2 linked regions of the Caenorhabditis elegans genome follow. The protein of the gene in region 1 purifies or fractionates together with the protein of each later gene. This does not show direct contact. Each region holds a gene or a part of one and is shown on either strand. Other genes may lie near its edges.

Region 1 (9,957 bases):
TGCGCGTTTGAGCTTTTCCAGCGGTTCTTGTTGAAATATAAATTTTGAGTAAGAATCAACAAAGTAAAAAAAATGCAATTACGAGGAGGCGTAAAGTTCAATCAAATAAATGTTCAAAAGCATGATGAAAGTTTTCATAAAAGATATATCGTAATTTCGCAACATTTTGAAATTTCACTTAAAAGGGGGCACTCGGTTTTTCTCCCGACGATATATTAAACAGGATTACGCGTAATTTTCTATTAAAATTTGAAAGATTAAAACATGATTAAACTGTTTTATCAGTGCAAAACGGGAAACTGAACAAAATACCGTACTTTAGAACTAGACGCGAAAGCTGTTTCCTGAGTCATCGGCAAAACAACTGAAGTTTCGACTATTTTTAAATGTTACAGTCAGTAAATCAATGTTTTTACAGACGTCGAAATATATGTTTCAAGACAAAAATTCTAAAAAATCTAGCAAAATCACTTCAAAAAATGAATAAAATTCAAAATCGATGAATATCGAAATGTTAATTAATTAATCGTCCGAGAGGATTACACGAGTTGTCCGAGAGAAGTACACGGCGGAGAATGAAAATCTTTCCGCGCGAGATTTAAATTCGAATTTTATACAATAAATTTCAAGCAAAAAACTTTCAAATTATCTAATCACAAAAACTCAGCGGAAAATTTTCCGAAGATAGAGAAGGTGGAAACCTTAATTTCTTCAGTAACAATTTAAAACAGAACATTGAACGGAATTGGAATGAATTATCGTTTTTTTCAGCAAAAATTCGTTTTTAGGTTCACTCCAGATAAATATCGTGACTTTTCACAACGGAAAAACAATGAAAAACAGGGGAATTACAAAATAAACTGCGAAAAATAAAATAAATTGCCTAAAATATTTGTATCGATTATTGTTCCTTCTTTTTCGCCAATCGTGTTTCACGCATGCTACATGCATGCGTGGCGAAAAGGGAGGCACTTTCGCCTCTCGTGCGTCACGCATGCTTCACACATGCGTCCGAGGCTCGCTTTTCGCTACGCGTCCAATACGCGCCTCATACGCGCCTCAAAGCGTCACGCATGAAACGCGAATCACCTGTGTGGTGGTGGTGGCGCGCGTTGTTTCTTCGATAAGTTAAGGAAAATTAGATGAACTGAGTAGAGGGAATGTATTTTGAAGTCTTGAACGGCTTGATATCAAGGTTTTTCATTTGAAAAAGTTTGTTAACCGCTTTCGTTAATCTTAGCCTCTCCTCTCTCTAACCAATAGAAGAGAACAAAGATTTTTTTAGTCTCAGAAAATTTGGAAAAGAGTTTTTTCTAAAAAAAAAAATCGTTAAATCATACTTTTTGGTTGCTGGAAGTGTGAATTAAAGTATTTTGTATCAAAATGTAAATGCTAGGAAAAGTAATTATATTTAACTATGGTCTGCGGGTTGGCACAAAACAGACGTAAAATACAAAATTCATGAAAACTTTAAAAGTACGGTATTGACTGTTTCCGCTTTTCGCAGCAAGAGCTCTAGTATCATTTGTGTGAAATGATATAATTTTTCCACAAATTATACCGAAAAAAGTAATGGTTTGTAGGAGTTAATTTAAATTAATAGAATATGTTATTTCGTTGTTTGTAACCATCGAAGTTGTCACAGTTGTAGCCGTGAAATTTCTTGCCGGATTTTGAAAAAAAAAAGTGTTTCTGAAAAAAACATTACCAGTTGGAGACTTTTCGGAGATTCGTCAAAGTCAGTCAGCGGACATCATCTTTAGATTATTATTTGCAGGAGATAATTCTTATTTTCAAATCATAATTTTATTTTAAAACTTTTTAAAGGTCTTCAATTTTAATTTAAAAAATTTTAAGCCCTACGCGTTTGCACTTTCCGTTTTCTTCTTATTTATTTATTTATTTTAATACGCCCATTTCTCGTGAGATTTCTAATCCAATATGGTCGAAATCTAATCAAATATGGCTGAGATCGTGCCATATTGGATTAGATTTCGACCATATTGGATTAGATTTGTTTTCTAATGAAATATGGAGGAAATCTAATCTAACATGGATTTCTAATCTAATCTACTATGGAGCAAATTTAATGCAATATGGATTTTCTAAACAAATATGGTTGAAATCTCGTTTAATATGGTTGAAATCTAATTAAGCTACTAAGCGTTTGTCTGAGTAAGTAAAATGAATAAGTACGAAATAGTATTGAAAACTAGGAGGGCGCAGAGAAAAATTTTCAGATAGCGATTTCAGGGGTTCAGAGTTGAGTTCCGCCGCTGAAATTTTTGTGGTGATCTAGTCTAAACATAAGCTTCCAAATGACATACGTCTCAATTTAAAGTCCGGGACTAGATTGGCTTCCTTTCCTTGTTAGGTATAATTAGTTAAAAGTTCAGAAACACGTGAAATTTATTTCCGAGAGAAAAAAACCCAAATCCGTAAAAGAAGTAATCATCTTTTGAATAATTCATTTCGCATTACGTTATTATTTTTTCAAAATTCTAATTCGTTATCATGACTTCTGTCAATCCTCCAGTCCGTCGAAGTGAAGACAAAAAAAGACGAAGAGATGGAAAAACACAGTAAGTTTCTGAAATGTTTTTTAATTTTTGTATTGAAATTTTGCAGAGCTGGTCAAAAGCGTACTTCTAGTATTCCCTCAAAATCTTCAAGTGGTGGTCTGGTGACTCCTCCTCCTCCAGTAATTGCTCCGCCTGTCGTGGTTTTACCAGTTCTGCTCCAGGCAAATCTGATAAAAGATCCTGTTGCCATGTCTCCTAATGTACCAGTGAAGGAAGGGAAAGCCACTCGTAGAAAAGTAACATGATGTGAACAGAGATTATGAAATTAATTATGTTTAATTTCAGGAGAAATCAATCGAAAAAAAAGAACATGAGCAGCCTAAGACTACACACCGCAAAAAGAAGAGCTCCCTATCAGCATCACTTGAAGGAAAAGTGAGCCAATCATCTATTTTTTCATGTTTTTATATTTATAAAATTGCCAGACATCAGGCGAAAACGAAGCGCCGAAAGCGGAGCAGAAAAAGTCTTCAACGGAATCTGGTAAGAAGCAGGTAGATCTAAATTCGGATGGATCAAAAGAGCCACCAGAAGAAGAAAAAAACAAACAAAAGTTAAACAAAGATTTGGCCAAACATTTTTTCAAGCATATTCAAGAGTCACATAAGTCGCGGAAGAAAGCAGATGATAGGGTATGTAATTTAAAACTTGTGAATATATGTAATTAAATATCAAATTGTATTTCAGCGTATAGAAGTCATGCCCGAATCGAGTCAACTAAATGTTTCTGCAAGATCTCTTCGGAAAAAGACTCAGAAAAAGCCAAAAACAGTCCTTGATTTGGAAATCTTCAAACCAAATGGAGAGCCTGTATGGGTGACTGACAAGCCGCCTAGTGAATGTGAAAAGGATGAGGACGGAGTAATAATCACAAACCCAGAATTGGCAGCTGCTCTTGCAGAAGATAATTTGGAAATGGATGAAAGGAAATATCTGGATTATGTGGAGGATTATATGTCGTGTGCAATGCCTAGAGGTCCAGCTTTACCAGAAAAGTAAGTTTATTTTTTTAATTGTCGTTTCTCAATTAATCATCTTTCAGCCATCAATTCGATCCACTCGCTACAGTTGAGAAGTTAGCGTCTAATAGTGAGTATGTTACTCAGGATACAGTAACCTATAACACTGTTAAAAATTTGTTCGATTTGAGTGAAGGTAACATAAACTGTCAGTTTTCAATCAAAATCCTCGACCTTCTTCAGATGCGATTAAACGGTTTGCTATGAAACGAGATGGACTGGATGAAAGAGCAAGAGGCATTAAAGAAATTACGGCTTCCGAAACACCAAGTACTACATCCATTGTTCCACCAAAGGATCCGGATCAGATTCAGCAGAAGACAGCTTTGACGTCGATTACATTTAATCTAATCAATAATATCGTTTTACACTATGATGTGAGTTTTTCCGTGCATTTTAAAAACAATATTTCGATTTTCAGCGCCATCATCCTATTGCCTCAATTCAAAAATGCCGCAAGAAAATCGAGCAGTGTACTCAACCGTCAATGAATAATCCATAGCTGATGACTGTTTTTCTTCTAAAATAAACGCATCTTATTCAATTTTTTGTTCAATCATATATCTTATTTCGGAATTTTACGACATAATTGTTCCTTCGGCTATTTTTTCATTTTAACACGAGGAATCTTTTTTAATCTTTCCCAATTTTTTCTAACTTCCTGAAAAATTCACCAACCAGTTCACAATTGTGCACAAGGCAAATCTCAAAACTTTGCAAAAGAATTGGAAGAGAAATTAAAGGCGCGATAATTTACGGCGTGTGGTCTCAAAGCGGCAAACACACACGCGAAACAAGTGTTACCGTATTCCACCACAGCCTCCTCTTCTGTTTTCTACATCAATCCTAAACTTTTTCGAGTTTTTAGCTGGAATTTCGTTTTTCTGTTGAACAAAAAGTCAATTTATATCAATTAATTTTTTTCTCATTCGACCTGTTCATCTATTACGTTGCGCTTCTTCGTACTTCGTTTTTATCTGTATAGTAATGTCGTTTTACATTTAAAAAATTAACTTTTCCAGAACTTCGGTTAAACATGAGTCGTGTTCGTACCAAGACCGTCAAGAAGGCTTCCCGTGTCCTCATCGAGAAGTACTACACTCGCATGACCAATGACTTCCATAACAACAAGCGCGTCTGTGACGAGGTTGCCATCATCGGAAGCAAGCCACTCAGAAACAAGATCGCTGGGTAACTCACAATTCATAATTTTTTTTCATTCAATTTCTCCATTCCAGATACATCACTCACTTGATGAGACGTATCGAGAGAGGACCAGTCAGAGGTATCTCCATCAAGCTTCAAGAAGAGGAGCGTGAGCGCAGAGACAACTACATGCCAGAGATCTCCACTGTTGATCCATCTCAACTCACCTCCATCAAGGTTGACACTGATACCAGCGACATGCTCAAGGCCGCTGTAAGTTTTCAAAAAATTAAGATTCAGTTATGGGAGTCCTGAAAGCTGCTTTGCCGGTTTTCAGGCTTTCCCTATCCAAAACGCTCGTTCGAGTGTTTCAGTTCGGTATGTCGAGGCGTTACCGGACGGAAAATATTTAAAATAAAATCCTCGTCATTTCAGGGATTCAACCTTCCAAACGTCACCGTTGAGGATCAAGGAAAGAACAAGGGAAAGTAAATATTCCCTGTGTTTAATTGTTATTGTTGTGGTGGATAATAAATATTTAATCTGCCAAAATGTGTTCTTTTTACATAGCTGATCAATTTCCAGATATATCGAGACTTGATGTCATTCCTGGATGAATCGTCTAATGGTGTTAAACCTGATTTGATTAGTGGTCTCTTTGTCGTATTAGAGTGGATGAGTTCATCCAGTTGTTGAAAAAATGTTCTTATTGTGAAGAAAAACTAATTCGTAGGCTATTAGATTTTATTTTATTTAACGGAAAACAAATAGTACACTGAAGGCGAAACATAAACTTTAGGAACTTAAGCGTCGTGATAACGACTGTAGAGTGCTTGCCGCGTCTTCTCTTTGTGACTCGCTTCTGCACCATGTCTCATTTTGGATCCAGCAGCACCCAAACCTGCTCCTTGAACAAATCGTTCAGCTTCAATCGGGTTAACAATACCTGAGAAAAACCATAATATCAAGCTTGTAAGCAATGTAGATTTACCTTGTGCATGCTTTCCAACTCCTTGTCCTTCTTTCCAGCCCATACTTTTCAGCAGTCTATTTCCGATGTTTGATTCGTCTAATGGGCGCTTCGAAGCTTCCTCACTAACTTTTCGGATGGTCTCTTCATGTCTCACCGATGTGGGTCCTGGCGGCCCACCCATCACATCGAATGCATAACCAGTGGAATCAATCCCGAACTGACGACGACGTTCTTTGGCTCTGTCCCTGTAAACGATCTTAGGGAGATCTGGAGCTGAAGCATCTTCTTCTTCTTCTTGTAATTTAGCAGCTGTTTCTCGTCCCCATTCGGCTCGCTTCGCTTCCAAATTGTTCTAAAAAAACTTTAACTAAGATTCCTGTCTAAGAACAAGGAAATAACTTTTAAACATACTCTATGCAAATCACTTTTTTCAACATGTTTCCGAAGTACTTCAACATCAGAGAATGCTCGTTTGCAGAGCATACATGTTTTCTTCGTTTCATCGTAAAGTGCTCTTTCCATAGCATCTCTAACATCTTGAAGAGTGGATTTCCGAGGAGCAAGTGGAACAGATGAAAATGAGGATGAAGTAGACGGTTCTTCAGAACGACGACCCCGAACTTCTTCCTCTTGATCCTCTTCTTCGTCATCATCAAAAAGTGCTGCAGTCTGTGCTATTCTTTTCTGTTTCTCTGAAAATGTTATTGATAAAAAGAAAATAGTTAAAATAAAGGCCATTACCATTAGAAAATACATTTTTCAATTCAATTCCTTTCGTCTCTTTTCCTTTTATAGAAATTTGAACTTTCTTTTTGTCTTTTTCTTGTCTCTTAGCCCATTTTGCCATATCTTTCACTAAATCCTGAGCTGTTTTTGGCCCTTCTTCGTTTTTCTTCATCTTTTCCTCTTCGGGGTCAGCTGAATTGATTACAGCTGGGGTTTCAACTGGGAAATAAGTATGATGAGTAAGATCCCAATTACACCATTGTGAAGTTGCATTATTGAAATAATAACCAGTTGCTGAATCGTAACAGAATTTTGTGATTGGATCTACGTAATACCCAAGATTCGGATCATGAGCGAATGTAAGCGGATTGGGTGGTACTGAAATGTTAATAATAATTGAAAATTAATATTTGAGCTTTTCCATACAGTATCTTGGCAAAAGTCCTTTCGGAGTCTGGGTCATTCCAATGACTCCATTTTGATGTTCCGGTTGAGTGGCTTGCATTGGAGGTGGAACAGACAAATTTGGTGGTGGAACACTGAAGTTTGGAGGAATCATATTAGCAGCAGGTGCAGGCAATCCAGTCATCTGAAATAGAGTTTTAGAATTTTCTATTAGAAATGTAACTTACAATTTGACCAACTTGTTGACTAGCTTGGCGCACAGCATTTGCTTTAGAAAGGGCAGCTGCAGCAATTTCAGCTCCAGTCACTAAAAAATTATAAAATTTAATATATTCTCTCCCATCAAACTCACTGTTTCCTTGAGCCAGACTTCCGGTAGCCACAGAATTCTTTCCAGGTCCCGCGGTTAGCATGGTCATTTGTTGTTGAATGAGTTTTGACATTGAATCACGACACCAGGAAACTTGAACTGAAAAAATATGGTAAAATCTTGAAATCAGCAAAAAACATACCATCTTTATCCTTAATTCGAATGGGCGATTTATATGTCAAATTGAGTAACATTTTTGCTTCATCCGCACTTTTCATTTGCAAGTACGCAAACCTTTTGGATTCCGACAATTTGATCATGCTAATCGAACTGAGACAAACCAGAGCACCGAGACTATCAAAAATAAGACTATTATTGATACCATCAGGAAGACCACGAATTAGAAGAGCTGAAAAATCAATTTGAATGTGTATGACAACTAAAGAAATTTCACGGACTGTCGCAAGGTGTCATTCCGACCATATGTGCTCCGAGTTTCTCAAGCTCCATTGACTGATCCTTTGAAATTTCACACTTGAAGCAGGTTTGACGCTTTACAAAATTGTTCATAGAGCACTGAAATTTGTTCATATTTTGATAATAGCTCAATTTTCTCGCGTACATGAGCACAAATCCAATCATCCCCTTTGTTTCCGGATCCAGCAGCAGGATCTCCCTTCGCATATTCTACAGCCAGAGTTCTTCCGTCATCCAGAGTCAACCATCCCTGAAAAGCGGATTTTGCATATAATTCAACTGAAAACCGTTTTGTACCTCGTAATCCGTCATCCACTGTTCTGCAGTTTCTCGATTAGAGAACTCAACAAAAGCAAAAGTACGAATTTGTTTTGTATTTTTATCGAATTTTGTCATGGTGCGCACGTCTTGAGGAAGGTATCCACATTTTCCCAATGAAAGTGTTATCTGAAAAATCTTTTTTTTTTTCTGAAATTTCAGCCGAGAAAACTATACCTTCGTGTTGTCCACATCATTTGGCATATTCAAAATTGCGAGTTTATTTGATGGAACTCCAGGATTCCAATCCGAATATCGATCATTATTTGAAAGATTGCTGCGGCGATCATCGCGACGCGAGTTTCTATCCTGAAAAAAAACTTAATTACTTCAATATTTTACTAGTTTTAATTTGAGGTATCATATTGTGTAACTGATTGAAAACCTTTTGAAAGAAGGTAACATCGCCATCGACCTGAAATTTAAAAGTGTTCAAATGGATAAATTCAAATTTTTCGACAAACAATTTTTATCAAGCTTGTCAAACCTCACGGATATCAACAAATTACGAAATCTTAAGAGCGCAATTTTCAAGAATTTAGAATATTTTGGAGAACAGATTTCATATGCCCATAGACAAAACCATACTCACAAGTAAACACCATAAATGACTACCCTTTCTCTATTTTTTCACCTACCCTTTCTCTGCTGTAGCTTCTGGAGCGTCGTCGTCTGGAGTGGCGGTTTGACGACGACCAATGAGAGGAACCATTTGCAGACGAAGGTGGTGAACGGCTTCGCGAGTGACTTCGATCTACAATCTCATCGAGAATTAATCTCCAGAACTAAATAGGAGTATAAATTCAGCCAAATTTCAGCTCAGTTGGTTGATAATAGGACCTCTTCTACGACGGCTGCTGCGGTCATCTCGGCGATCACGACTAGTTCGACGTCTAGATGGTGATCTGCTTCTGCTTCTACCTCCGCGTCTATCGCGGCTCCTGGAACGAGAACGTCTTGCTTCACGCGCCCACGAAGGTGACCGAGAGCTTTTATTTTCTCCAGAACGAGGTATAGAAATTTCTGGTTGCGTTGCCGGTGTCGTCATTATAGGAAATCCTGGTGGGGGTTGTCTGAAATCCGGAAAAACTGGCCGAGTTTGAATGACGGGAGGCGGCTGGTTGAAGATTGGTTGTCTGGATTATTTTTAATTTAATCAATAATTAATAACTTGTCAGATAATTCGAAAAATATGTAAAAAAACGGATCTGATTAAATATAATAAAGACATTTTAGCGTTCAGTCGTCGATAAAGCTCCTTACTTTTTTTCTTCATTCAGCCGGTGGATCGCTTGTTCGGTTTCTGCTAGACGTGCTTGCATTGCAACCAAATCAGGTCTTCCAGTGGTGTTGTGAAACGAATTGGCAACCTGCTTTAGAACAAAATTAACATTAATTTTAAAAGTTTGAATTTTTCTGCAAGTCGTATTCTCAGATCACAAACCCTCTGTTCTTCGTATTGTTTGTAATAGTCTTCCATTTGGCGCTGATGGTCGGTAGGATCATAGTTACCCTGGAAATTTGAATTTGATGGCAACCAGTATAGAAACATAGTTATACTCCACGTTTAATTTATTTTTTTACCTCCTCATTTTGAACCCTTTTCCCGTCATCATCAGCGTTGAACACAAAAGGTAGCATGTTCACTTGAAATTTTCTATAAATTTTCAGATATTTTAAAGTTATATTTAACACATTTTGTAGTTCTAGAATGATTTATTCAAAAACAAATATAATATAAAACATTTTGCATTGCAATAAAACGTGTGAAACCAAGAAGAATCGATGAAAAAACGGAGAGCGAATGTTTTCGGACATCACTCTTAAAGGCGCGTAGGAATCGGACGCTTGACAGGTCTCGCATGGAAGAGAAAGAGCGGTGTAGGTTTACGAGTGACATTATTTCATTTCTTCATTTTCAGGAACGTCTCTTATAGTTTTCCTGAAATTTCCATATTCTTTTTCAAATATAAAATGATTTTTAAGTTACTTTGCTTCCAT
Region 2 (10,087 bases), on another chromosome or scaffold:
GTGGAAGAGAAGATTTGGAAGGATCAGGCAATACTGGAGTTGTCATCAAACCGAGAAAGTCGAAGAAGAAGCAGAAAAAGGTATAGCACTTGGTTGAGTAGACACTAAATTGTTACTCCCATAGTGGGCAAACCGGGTAAAACCGACCTTCCGTTTTTGACCGGATTCTGGGGTTTTCGTATTCGGAGCCGTTTTTGGGTAGGCCATCCGGTTTCTCAAACTATTTCGCATATGATGCACAGGAGAACAGGAACTCGTAAAGCATTTAGGCACTGGGGTAGCCATGTAGGCTGTCATGCTTCAATTAGACACATATGTACACAGTAAAGACATATGTACACAGTAAGAGCATCTGGATTTTCCATTTTCAATTTCTCTCCTTGACTTTGCTCTTTTTACAACCTTAAGAATTATCATCACGATTAATTAATATCTAAGATCTTGGAATTGGAAAATGAGATTTTTCATCTTAAAGACCAAAACTAATTTTTAAAAATACATACATCATCTTTCAGGTTCCGAAAGTATCACCTGCATCACGAAAAGAAGACATTCCTGGATGTGCAACAGTCGAGAAAGTATCCATCAGATCAGGAAGCGAGATTTCTCAATCGGAATGGCTTGACAATCTGGTTCCAGGAACTTTAGCCAAGCCACAATCTCGATGGGAATCAATTACTGGATTTATTGATAACTACAAATATCCGATTATTTCCAGTGTTGTACTTGCTGGTGTTTTAACTTATTTTATTGTTAAAAAGGGAAAAGCTGGAGCAAAATGCCCATTCACTGGAAAGAAAGCTAATTGAAGAACTAGACGATTTTGAAATGCTATGAAGAGAATAAAATGTTTTATTTGATACTGAAACCAATTTTTGAGTTTTTTAACATTACTAACTAAATGAGAAATGTGAAGGAACATCAAAAGTTCGAAAATTATTTTGAGATAGATATTTCAAGAACAGTTATAATTGAGGAATTAGAAAAATGAGTAAATTCATTAAAACCATACAATGAAGTCCAAATATCTGTTTTCTCTTATTCCAATAGATGCAATTTGGCAATCTCCCTCTATGTCCATATAACTGGTACAGTCAATGTTTAAATCTTCTTTTTGATAATTGGATGGTCTTCTTCTGGGATTCCATGGTTTTGCATTCATTCCTTCTAGAACCAAATCAAAGTTCCAGTCTTCAGAAGCCAATATTTCCAGATGTTCCAGACGAGTTTTATTACCCTTCCAGTTGCTAATTAATGATCTTACAGCGTTAATAGCTGAATTCTCTTTCCAATATAATTTTATTGTTTCACAGTCAAGTTGAATCAATTCTTCAATTGGAATGCTTGGTAAACAGATTAATGAGAGATTGTTCACTTTTTTCATCTGTAATTTCCGAATTATTATAAACTAATATTCTAGTACAAACCTTTTCATGTATTTTTGAAACTTCGTCAAAAACTTTGAGATTATCACTGATGTCGTAATAATTCAAGATAGTGTCGATATTGTCCTGATTTCCAGATAAATAATCTCCAAATTCCAAACTTTTCAATTTACTCGGGAGTCTTGCCATGGTGTTATTTAGGAATACTCCAGTGAATCCCACCACATCATAGTGGAGATTTTTGATTTGAAATAAATCCCAAAAATGTTGAAATACGGCAATGATGTCTTCATCGAAGTTTGTTGGAATACAAATTATTCGACTTTCATCGTAATTTTTTGTCCTGGAAACAATTTTTTGAGAGAGATTTCAGAAATCACATGGAGTGGAAATTTCTTCCGTATTATCCAGACACGAAATTCTGCGATTTTTGTGCCAAACCACGGTAACGGTCTCGACACGACAAGTTTTGTTGAAAGCGAGAATGCATGCGCCTTTGAAGAGTACTGTACTATCAAGCTTCCGGTGCTGCGGGATTTTCATCGTTTTCGCATATTAGGCAATAGTTCTTACTGTTGCCTTTCAGTTTCTAAATAAATACATATATTTATATAGAAACGTTATAGAAATTAATTAATTGAAAATTCCGCAGAAACGAAAGTTTCAGGTTACAGTAATCTTTAAAGGCGCAAACATCTCGCGAGAAAACAAAACAAAATTTGTCGGGTCGAGACGGGGTACAGTATTTTTTAGTATTTTGCGTCAGAAAATAATTGTTTTCGAAAATATTAAAGTCACAAAAATTCTGCAGTGTTTTTATTGTGAAAAAATAGCCAGAATCCTCAGATGTTAAGCGAGGACCAACCTAATTGTAACTTGAATGAAATATATGTACATATATTATATGTCCCAACACTTACCATGCGTCATATCGGCTGCCCTTGACTTTTCGTGAACACGCAGAAATATCGACAACAGAATTGAAATCAAACTCTAATGATTTGGATTTTGAGTTTAGTTGAATACGTCGAAAATGAAAATGCAAGGAATCAATTTTTAAGCAGCAAGTTTTCATGTAAATTTCACATTTTTTCGAAGCAAGTGATAGTTCCAACCTGAATTCAAGGTGTTTGTCTTATTATATAAAGTATTAACTTACAAATCAATAAAGTCTATATGAAGAAGTACATTCTTCAAAGCAAGTGTAGGAAGTGATAATAAACGAAAAGGTGACATTTTTTTGAATAACTGGAAATACAAAATGGGGAGAAGAGATCTCGAGATGAACAGCATGCGGGGTCTACTTACTATTAGAAAACATCGATTGGTTTTCCCACAAGGTAAAAATATATGGTCTCGTTGCGAACGGGAATCTGGACTGTATAGTGGTGACCCTGCCCACTTCAGTCTACCCCTTCCAATTATTCTTATATCGTAACTTTGTGCAATTATGAGACTTCATACGATTTTCAGAAGAGAATGAACTGTGCTTCTAATTTAATCATAGTTCTTTAAAAAACAATTTTTTTCGCTTTCGTAGTCGGGAGGATTTCTTATTGATGCTCAGAGTGTTTCTTTCAATGTTGTAACATTTTTTGCAATATATGGGTTCATTTATCTTGATGAAAACATAACAAGAAATATAAAGATTCCTCTAGATCTTGTTGAAGGCGACAATGTCGACGGATTGGACGTGATCCTCGAAGTCTCCGGTGATCTTCTCGATGAGGTCATCAACCGAAACCTTGAGATCCTCGATAACAGTGATGATCTGGAGCTTCTTGATTCCTGAAAGTTTACATAAATTTTAATTGTGTGAATTTCAATCCACTAACCGTATCCAATTGGGATAAGCTTAGCTCCTCCCCAGACAAGTCCGTCCATCTCGATAGAACGAACGAGCTTCTCCATCTCTCCGAGGTCGGTCTCATCGTCCCATGGCTTTACATCAAGAATGACTGAAGATTTAGCAATTGGTCCAGCCTTCTTGGCCTTCTTCTCGGCGTAAGCGGCGAGACGCTCCTCAACGATCTTTGCCTTCTCGGCATCTTCCTCCTCATCGTCGGATCCGAAAAGATCGAAGTCATCTCCATCAGCAGCAGCGGCAGCTGGAGCTGATCCTCCGGCGGAAGCCCAGGTCTTGCGCTCAGCATCAGTGTAAGAAGCTACATTAGCGTACCAACGGGCAACATTTGGATAGGTGGAGGCGTTTGGGGCGGATCCGAGAGCGGCGAAAAGTTGGGCGTCCTCTCCAGACAAGACGAAGCTATAATTTTCAAATTATTTCAATGAATAGACTATCTGAAAAATTTACAAGAGTTGATTACACCTATTTTCTGCATTTTTTCCTAAAAATTGCATAACTTCAGAATTTAAAGACTAACCCAGTGGCAAAAGCCTGCTCGGCGAGAGTAGTGTTGAAAGCAGCAAGTCCAGCTGGGCTCTTGACGTCGGCAACCATCTTTTCAGGAGTGAAACACGAAGGAATGATGCTAAAAGTCCTACAAATAGGTTAGTGAATAAAATCGTTGCGAGACTCAAAGTCTGTCGAAACCCCATGCGCCTTCAAACGAGCATAGCGCCAGTGATCATTCAATGGCGTGTTTGCTGACCGGAGGCGCCCAAGTTTCGCGCTTTCATTTCTCCTCCCATTCATTTTCGGCATGCACGCCGTCTCTGCTGACCGATGCGTTATCATTTTCTTTTCGGTTCGCTGCGGAATCACTTGTTTTCGTTCCGAGGGGTTATTTACTGCAGAGAAAAGCTTTTTAATTGTTCCAAATTAAGTTTTAGGCCTGTGTTTATGAATATTATCCTTTCTTTTAATTTTTTTAAATAGGTTCTATTTCTTTCCCTTTGTCGGACAGGAATTTCTGTGAAAATCTTTCATTGTTCTGTAATTTACAGGAGAAACCATGAATTCTCTTCTTCGGTTGAGCCACTTGGCTGGACCTGCACATTATCGCGCACTTCACTCCTCTTCGTCCATCTGGGTATTCAAACCTAAGCATAATTATTATAAATCTTTTGTTTTCAGAGCAAAGTTGCAATCAGTAAATTCGAGCCGAAGTCGTACCTCCCGTACGAGAAACTATCTCAGACTGTGAAGATTGTGAAAGACAGGTGTGTAAAGTTCAATTTGTTTAGCTTGTCAAGTACAAAGTATCTTCACTGCTTTCTGTTCGTTATCATACAATTAATGATGTTTATGGTGAATAGTCATGTGCGCCACTGACATTACAACACATACAGTTCAGTTATAGGTTCTTTTATGTTATTTCTAACTCTCGAATAGTGAAAGCTCACCCAAATCGCAGTCACAAGCCAAGGGTCGCAGAGAGAAACAAACAGAGTTCCGTTGTAATAAGAAGATGGGTTAGAGCGTCATTGAGAGAACCAAGAAAACGTCGAATCTTTTCCATCTCTGTTCTCTGATTAATGTCAACATGTTGTGAGAGGGCGTTTTGACCATAATACAGTTTCATAAGTGTACATCACTATTCTTTTCAACTTTTGATGATGCAAAATCTAATTTCTGGTGTCATTAATTGTGATGTCACAATAGAAATTATGAAAATTATCTAGTTGAACGTTGCATAGAAATTCATGTGGACCACATTCTCTAGTCTCCAGACTGGTCGAACTTTGAAGCCGAGGTGATATTTGCCGTGTGACAGTACTTTGAACTCATGAAGGAAACATCGTTAAGTCTAACTAAAAACTTTAAAAATAGATTTTAGTTTTTCTACTGATAAAAACAAAAAATATATTGTTTCAGATTGAAACGTCCATTGACGCTTTCCGAAAAGATTCTCTATGGACATTTGGATCAACCAAAAACTCAAGATATTGAGAGAGGAGTTTCATACCTTCGTCTTCGTCCAGATCGTGTTGCTATGCAAGATGCTACCGCTCAAATGGCTATGCTCCAATTCATCAGCTCCGGACTTCCAAAGACAGCTGTTCCATCAACTATTCATTGCGATCATTTGATTGAAGCTCAAAAGGGTGGAGCCCAAGATTTGGCCCGTGCTAAGGTTTGTGATATTTGCGAAAAAATTATTTTACTTAAATTTTCTTCACCCTAAATATATTTCGATTTCTAGGACCTCAACAAAGAAGTCTTCAACTTCCTTGCTACTGCTGGAAGCAAATATGGAGTTGGATTCTGGAAGCCAGGATCTGGAATTATCCATCAAATCATTCTTGAGAACTACGCTTTCCCAGGACTTCTTCTCATCGGAACTGATTCTCACACACCTAACGGAGGAGGACTTGGAGGACTTTGTATTGGAGTTGGTGGAGCCGATGCTGTAGATGTTATGGCTGATATTCCATGGGAGCTCAAGTGCCCGAAGGTCATTGGAATCAAACTCACTGGAAAGCTCAACGGATGGACTTCTGCCAAGGACGTTATCTTGAAGGTTGCTGATATCCTCACTGTCAAAGGAGGAACTGGAGCTATTGTTGAGTATTTCGGCCCAGGAGTGGATTCTATTTCTGCAACTGGAATGGGAACCATCTGCAACATGGGAGCCGAAATCGGAGCTACGACATCTGTCTTCCCATACAACGAGAGCATGTACAAGTATCTGGAAGCTACTGGACGTAAAGAAATCGCCGAAGAAGCCAGAAAGTACAAAGATCTCCTCACTGCTGACGATGGAGCTAACTATGATCAAATCATCGAGATCAACCTCGACACTCTTACTCCACATGTCAACGGACCATTCACTCCAGATCTTGCCTCTTCCATCGACAAACTTGGAGAAAACGCCAAGAAGAACGGATGGCCACTCGATGTAAAGGTCTCACTTATCGGATCATGCACCAACTCTTCATACGAAGACATGACCCGTGCTGCTTCCATTGCCAAACAAGCTCTTGATAAGGGACTCAAGGCTAAGACCATTTTCACCATCACCCCAGGATCCGAGCAAGTCCGTGCCACTATTGAAAGAGACGGACTCTCCAAGATTTTCGCTGATTTCGGAGGAATGGTTCTCGCAAATGCCTGTGGACCATGTATTGGACAATGGGATCGTCAGGATGTGAAGAAGGGAGAAAAAAACACAATTGTCACATCATACAACCGTAACTTCACCGGAAGAAATGATGCGAACCCAGCCACTCACGGTTTCGTTACTTCTCCAGATATCACAACTGCTATGGCCATCTCCGGACGTCTTGACTTCAATCCACTTACTGATGAGCTCACCGCCGCTGATGGTTAGTAACATTTTGAATAGTTATATTTTTTCATTACTCAACCTCGTTTATCATTTCAGGAAGCAAATTCAAACTCCAGGCTCCAACTGGACTCGACCTTCCACCAAAGGGTTACGATCCAGGAGAGGACACATTCCAAGCCCCATCTGGAAGCGGACAGGTTGATGTATCTCCATCTTCTGATCGTCTTCAACTTTTGTCTCCATTCGACAAGTGGGATGGAAAGGACCTCGAAGATATGAAGATCCTCATCAAGGTTACCGGAAAATGTACTACTGATCACATTTCTGCTGCTGGACCATGGCTCAAATATCGTGGACATTTGGACAACATTTCGAATAATCTTTTCCTTACGGCTATCAATGCTGACAACGGAGAGATGAACAAGGTCAAGAACCAAGTTACTGGAGAATATGGAGCCGTTCCAGCCACTGCCCGCAAATACAAGGCTGATGGAGTTAGATGGGTTGCTATCGGAGACGAGAACTACGGAGAGGGTTCATCTCGCGAACATGCTGCTCTTGAGCCACGTCATCTTGGAGGAAGAGCTATCATCGTGAAATCCTTCGCCCGTATTCACGGTCAGTTAGTCTTCAAAATAAATAAAATTTACCTTGCTTATTTCCTCAACGCGCCATAACTTATTTTTTTCAGAGACGAACTTGAAGAAACAAGGAATGCTCCCACTCACATTTGCCAACCCAGCTGACTACGACAAAATCGATCCATCAGACAATGTTTCTATCGTCGGACTCTCCAGTTTTGCTCCAGGAAAGCCACTTACGGCTATTTTCAAGAAGACCAATGGATCAAAGGTGGAAGTGACCTTGAATCACACCTTCAACGAGCAACAAATCGAGTGGTTCAAGGCCGGATCTGCCCTCAACAGAATGAAGGAAGTATTCGCAAAGAGCAAATAAATGTTTCATTGGAAAACTATTTTCTCTTCAAAACCTGTAGTAAATACTCATTTTCAACAAACTGTAATGTAATGTATACTGAATTGAAGTATTTTGAAAATTCATTAGAGAAGTGAAAAACATTTTCTAAATACTTCAGTTCATTCCCAATTTTCCCATAGTAGTCATCACAACCTCCATGAGATTGTTTTTATGTATGAGTAGATATTGTTTTGTTTCGTTTTCGTTTTTTTGTAATTGATTCTTATTTCCATGAAAAGACACAACTATTTATTCTTGTTCATTTATTGATCATTTACGAAGACGGGCGAAGATACTGAGGGCCACCGTGACGATTCCAACGCCAAGAAGAGCCTTTAAAATAAACTGATTGGAGTATACTCAAATGAAAGCTAAATCCAAATTTACCGAGTTATCATAAGTGAATGCACAGATCTTTGATGCCAGAGTGTTTTGTGAAGAATGATCAGTTGTTGTGGTTTCCATTGGATGCGAAGGATCAACCGGTCCGGCTTTTCCACCATCACCATCACTCTTCAGAAGATCATTCAACCAATCATCCTGTGATTCTTCATCACCATTTCCAACAACTTCAACGTCAGAAATATCACTGACAACCACGTCACCAGCTCTATCTTTAATCTTCATTTTGCGAAGTTTCTTAATGCGTCGCTGTTTTGCCACCGCTTTTTTATAATCAGCAGATTTTTCGCTTCTCTTCGGTGCTTCTGACATTATCGAAGTGGATTCAGCTGCAAGTTAGAAAAAATTAGGAAAGAAAAATAAATCCAATAAATTCACCTTTTCAATTAGCTTGTATTGAGTGATAAAAAACGAAGAACTGAATATTTTATGATGAAGTAATTGAACCGAATATTATAAACTTTACGTAGGAAATATACTTTTTCGCGTGATTAATTTTTAAATGTTTGTTTTTATATTCTGCATCTAATCATTGGTGAATTGCAATCTCGAACTCATTCTAGGCTTGATATTTTATTTGACTACGGTACTTTTTAAAGGCACAGACAACATTCGTTCATTGCTATGTTTTCGTTGCGAGACTCGTCGGCCGAAACATTGATTTGATTGTTTGTTTTTTGCGTTTTCTTTGCTAGAAATTTATTGAATTTCAGTATTTATTTCATATTATTTTTAAAAATATTATAATGTTATCAATTTAATTATTTTTTCTAAAGTCGTGCACTTTTTGAAAGAATTTTCTCATGTTTCAATCAAGCCAAATGATCTTTTAAACACTTTTTGTGTTCTCTAATTCTTCTTCCTCCCCTTTTATTTTCCCGCCTTTTCATTTTAAGTTGTAAAGTGTGTTGTGTCCCGTTAGTCGTCAGTGTCTATTTGTTTGTTGCCGCAATCTACCACTCTCAAAAAACTTGACCCAGAATACATGCATTTTTGATTTTATTTAAGATTTGGTAAATAGTTCGCTTGTCATGCGCCTTCCAAAATATTTTGTTCGCCATTAAAAGTTTGAAACATTCCAAAAAGAAATGCCCCGAACCAGGATCGAACTGGTGACCTTACGATCTTCAGTCGTACGCTCTCCCAACTGAGCTATCGAGGCACATTTTTCCCCGCTTCAATTGGCTGTGAAGTAAATTTCGCTTTTAGAAATAAGGAAAAACTGATAAGATATACTGTATACTTGCTTACAATGGAAAACGCTTTTTGTATCAGAATGTCGTTAGGAACTCAAATTAGTCCCACTCATTCGAAAAATTCCCACAAAAATTTAATACTGCTCCCGGAGAGTTTTGAACTTTGAAAAATCATTTGAAAACTTTGCCACAATTTTTCAACCTAACACATACACACATTTTTGTACGGTGAATTCGACGAGTAAACAAGTAACCTTGGCGAGTGCCGGCGCCTTTATTTTCTTGTCTAACCATCTGCATCTCTTCATTCTTTTTCACTGAACTCTCTTATTTTTTCATGATATTTCATCTGCTCGCCAATAAAAAAGGCGATTCTCAGTTGTTTGCTTCCTCTCTTTCTTTCTACCCATGCCAACGAGTTTTGTTTTCTTTTTGATTTTTTAAATTTTTTTGCGATAGGAAATAAGATGATAGTAAATACTGAAAGGTTTATTAGTCGACTGTTGTTTCCCGCTGATGAATAAGGAAATTAAAATTTTTTTTGTTGAAAAATTGTGTTTTTTCGAACAAATGTCGAGATTTTGTTAGAACGTTAAATAAGAATTGCTCCAGCCCAACCAATTACTCCGAAATTCATCGAAAGAAGGAATTTGTAGTGGAAACAATAAATAAAGCTCGTAAAAGTTTTTTGTGGGCTCTTTTTGTCTGAAACACCTCCGTTTCTAAAAATTGCAACTACATTCCCGTATACAAAAGTTCTTTCGACCAAGAACAAAAAAATTTCAGTTGCTTTTCTCCTTTGACAAAAATTAACAAATAAAATGAATATTTTAGGAGCCAAATAAAAAAAATTAAACAAAAAAGAACAGTCCTCATTTGGATTTAGATTTCTGTAATTGTAAGTCGTAAATCCGCAACATCTAGATAATCGTCA

The links. Proteins that work in one complex are often made in the same cells at the same time.
Region 2: the proteins of rps-17 (region 1) and eef-1B.1 fractionate together in Caenorhabditis elegans (co-fractionation; one large-scale study listed by BioGRID). This does not show direct contact.

What each region holds. Positions count from the first base shown.
Region 1 is NC_003279.8:6,215,431-6,225,387, reverse strand, and holds rps-17 (Small ribosomal subunit protein eS17), read left to right. Parts: upstream 1-4,623; 5' UTR 4,624-4,637; coding exon 4,638-4,792; intron 4,793-4,839; coding exon 4,840-5,020; intron 5,021-5,182; coding exon 5,183-5,239; 3' UTR 5,240-5,295; downstream 5,296-9,957. Other genes in the region: T08B2.11 (HUN domain-containing protein), read left to right, coding at 2,515-2,582, 2,629-2,818, 2,868-2,957, 3,008-3,214, 3,270-3,577, 3,625-3,737, 3,785-3,978, 4,023-4,103; rbm-5 (RNA-binding protein 5), read right to left, coding at 5,551-5,693, 5,739-6,072, 6,132-6,412, 6,462-6,824, 6,873-7,035, 7,079-7,158, 7,204-7,320, 7,364-7,570 and 9 more.
Region 2 is NC_003281.10:7,969,425-7,979,511, forward strand, and holds eef-1B.1 (putative elongation factor 1-beta/1-delta 1), read right to left. Parts: upstream 3,963-10,087; 5' UTR 3,847-3,962; coding exon 3,770-3,846; intron 3,652-3,769; coding exon 3,221-3,651; intron 3,174-3,220; coding exon 3,040-3,173; 3' UTR 2,958-3,039; downstream 1-2,957. Other genes in the region: F54H12.7 (ADP-ribosylation factor-like protein 6-interacting protein 4), read left to right, coding at 1-80, 516-809; F54H12.5 (uncharacterized protein), read right to left, coding at 1,001-1,384, 1,428-1,728, 2,306-2,500, 2,545-2,678; aco-2 (putative aconitate hydratase, mitochondrial), read left to right, coding at 4,301-4,378, 4,423-4,508, 5,164-5,422, 5,492-6,614, 6,674-7,195, 7,269-7,534; C06G4.4 (uncharacterized protein), read right to left, coding at 7,826-7,888, 7,943-8,269. UniProt on the Caenorhabditis elegans protein: EF-1-beta and EF-1-delta stimulate the exchange of GDP bound to EF-1-alpha to GTP.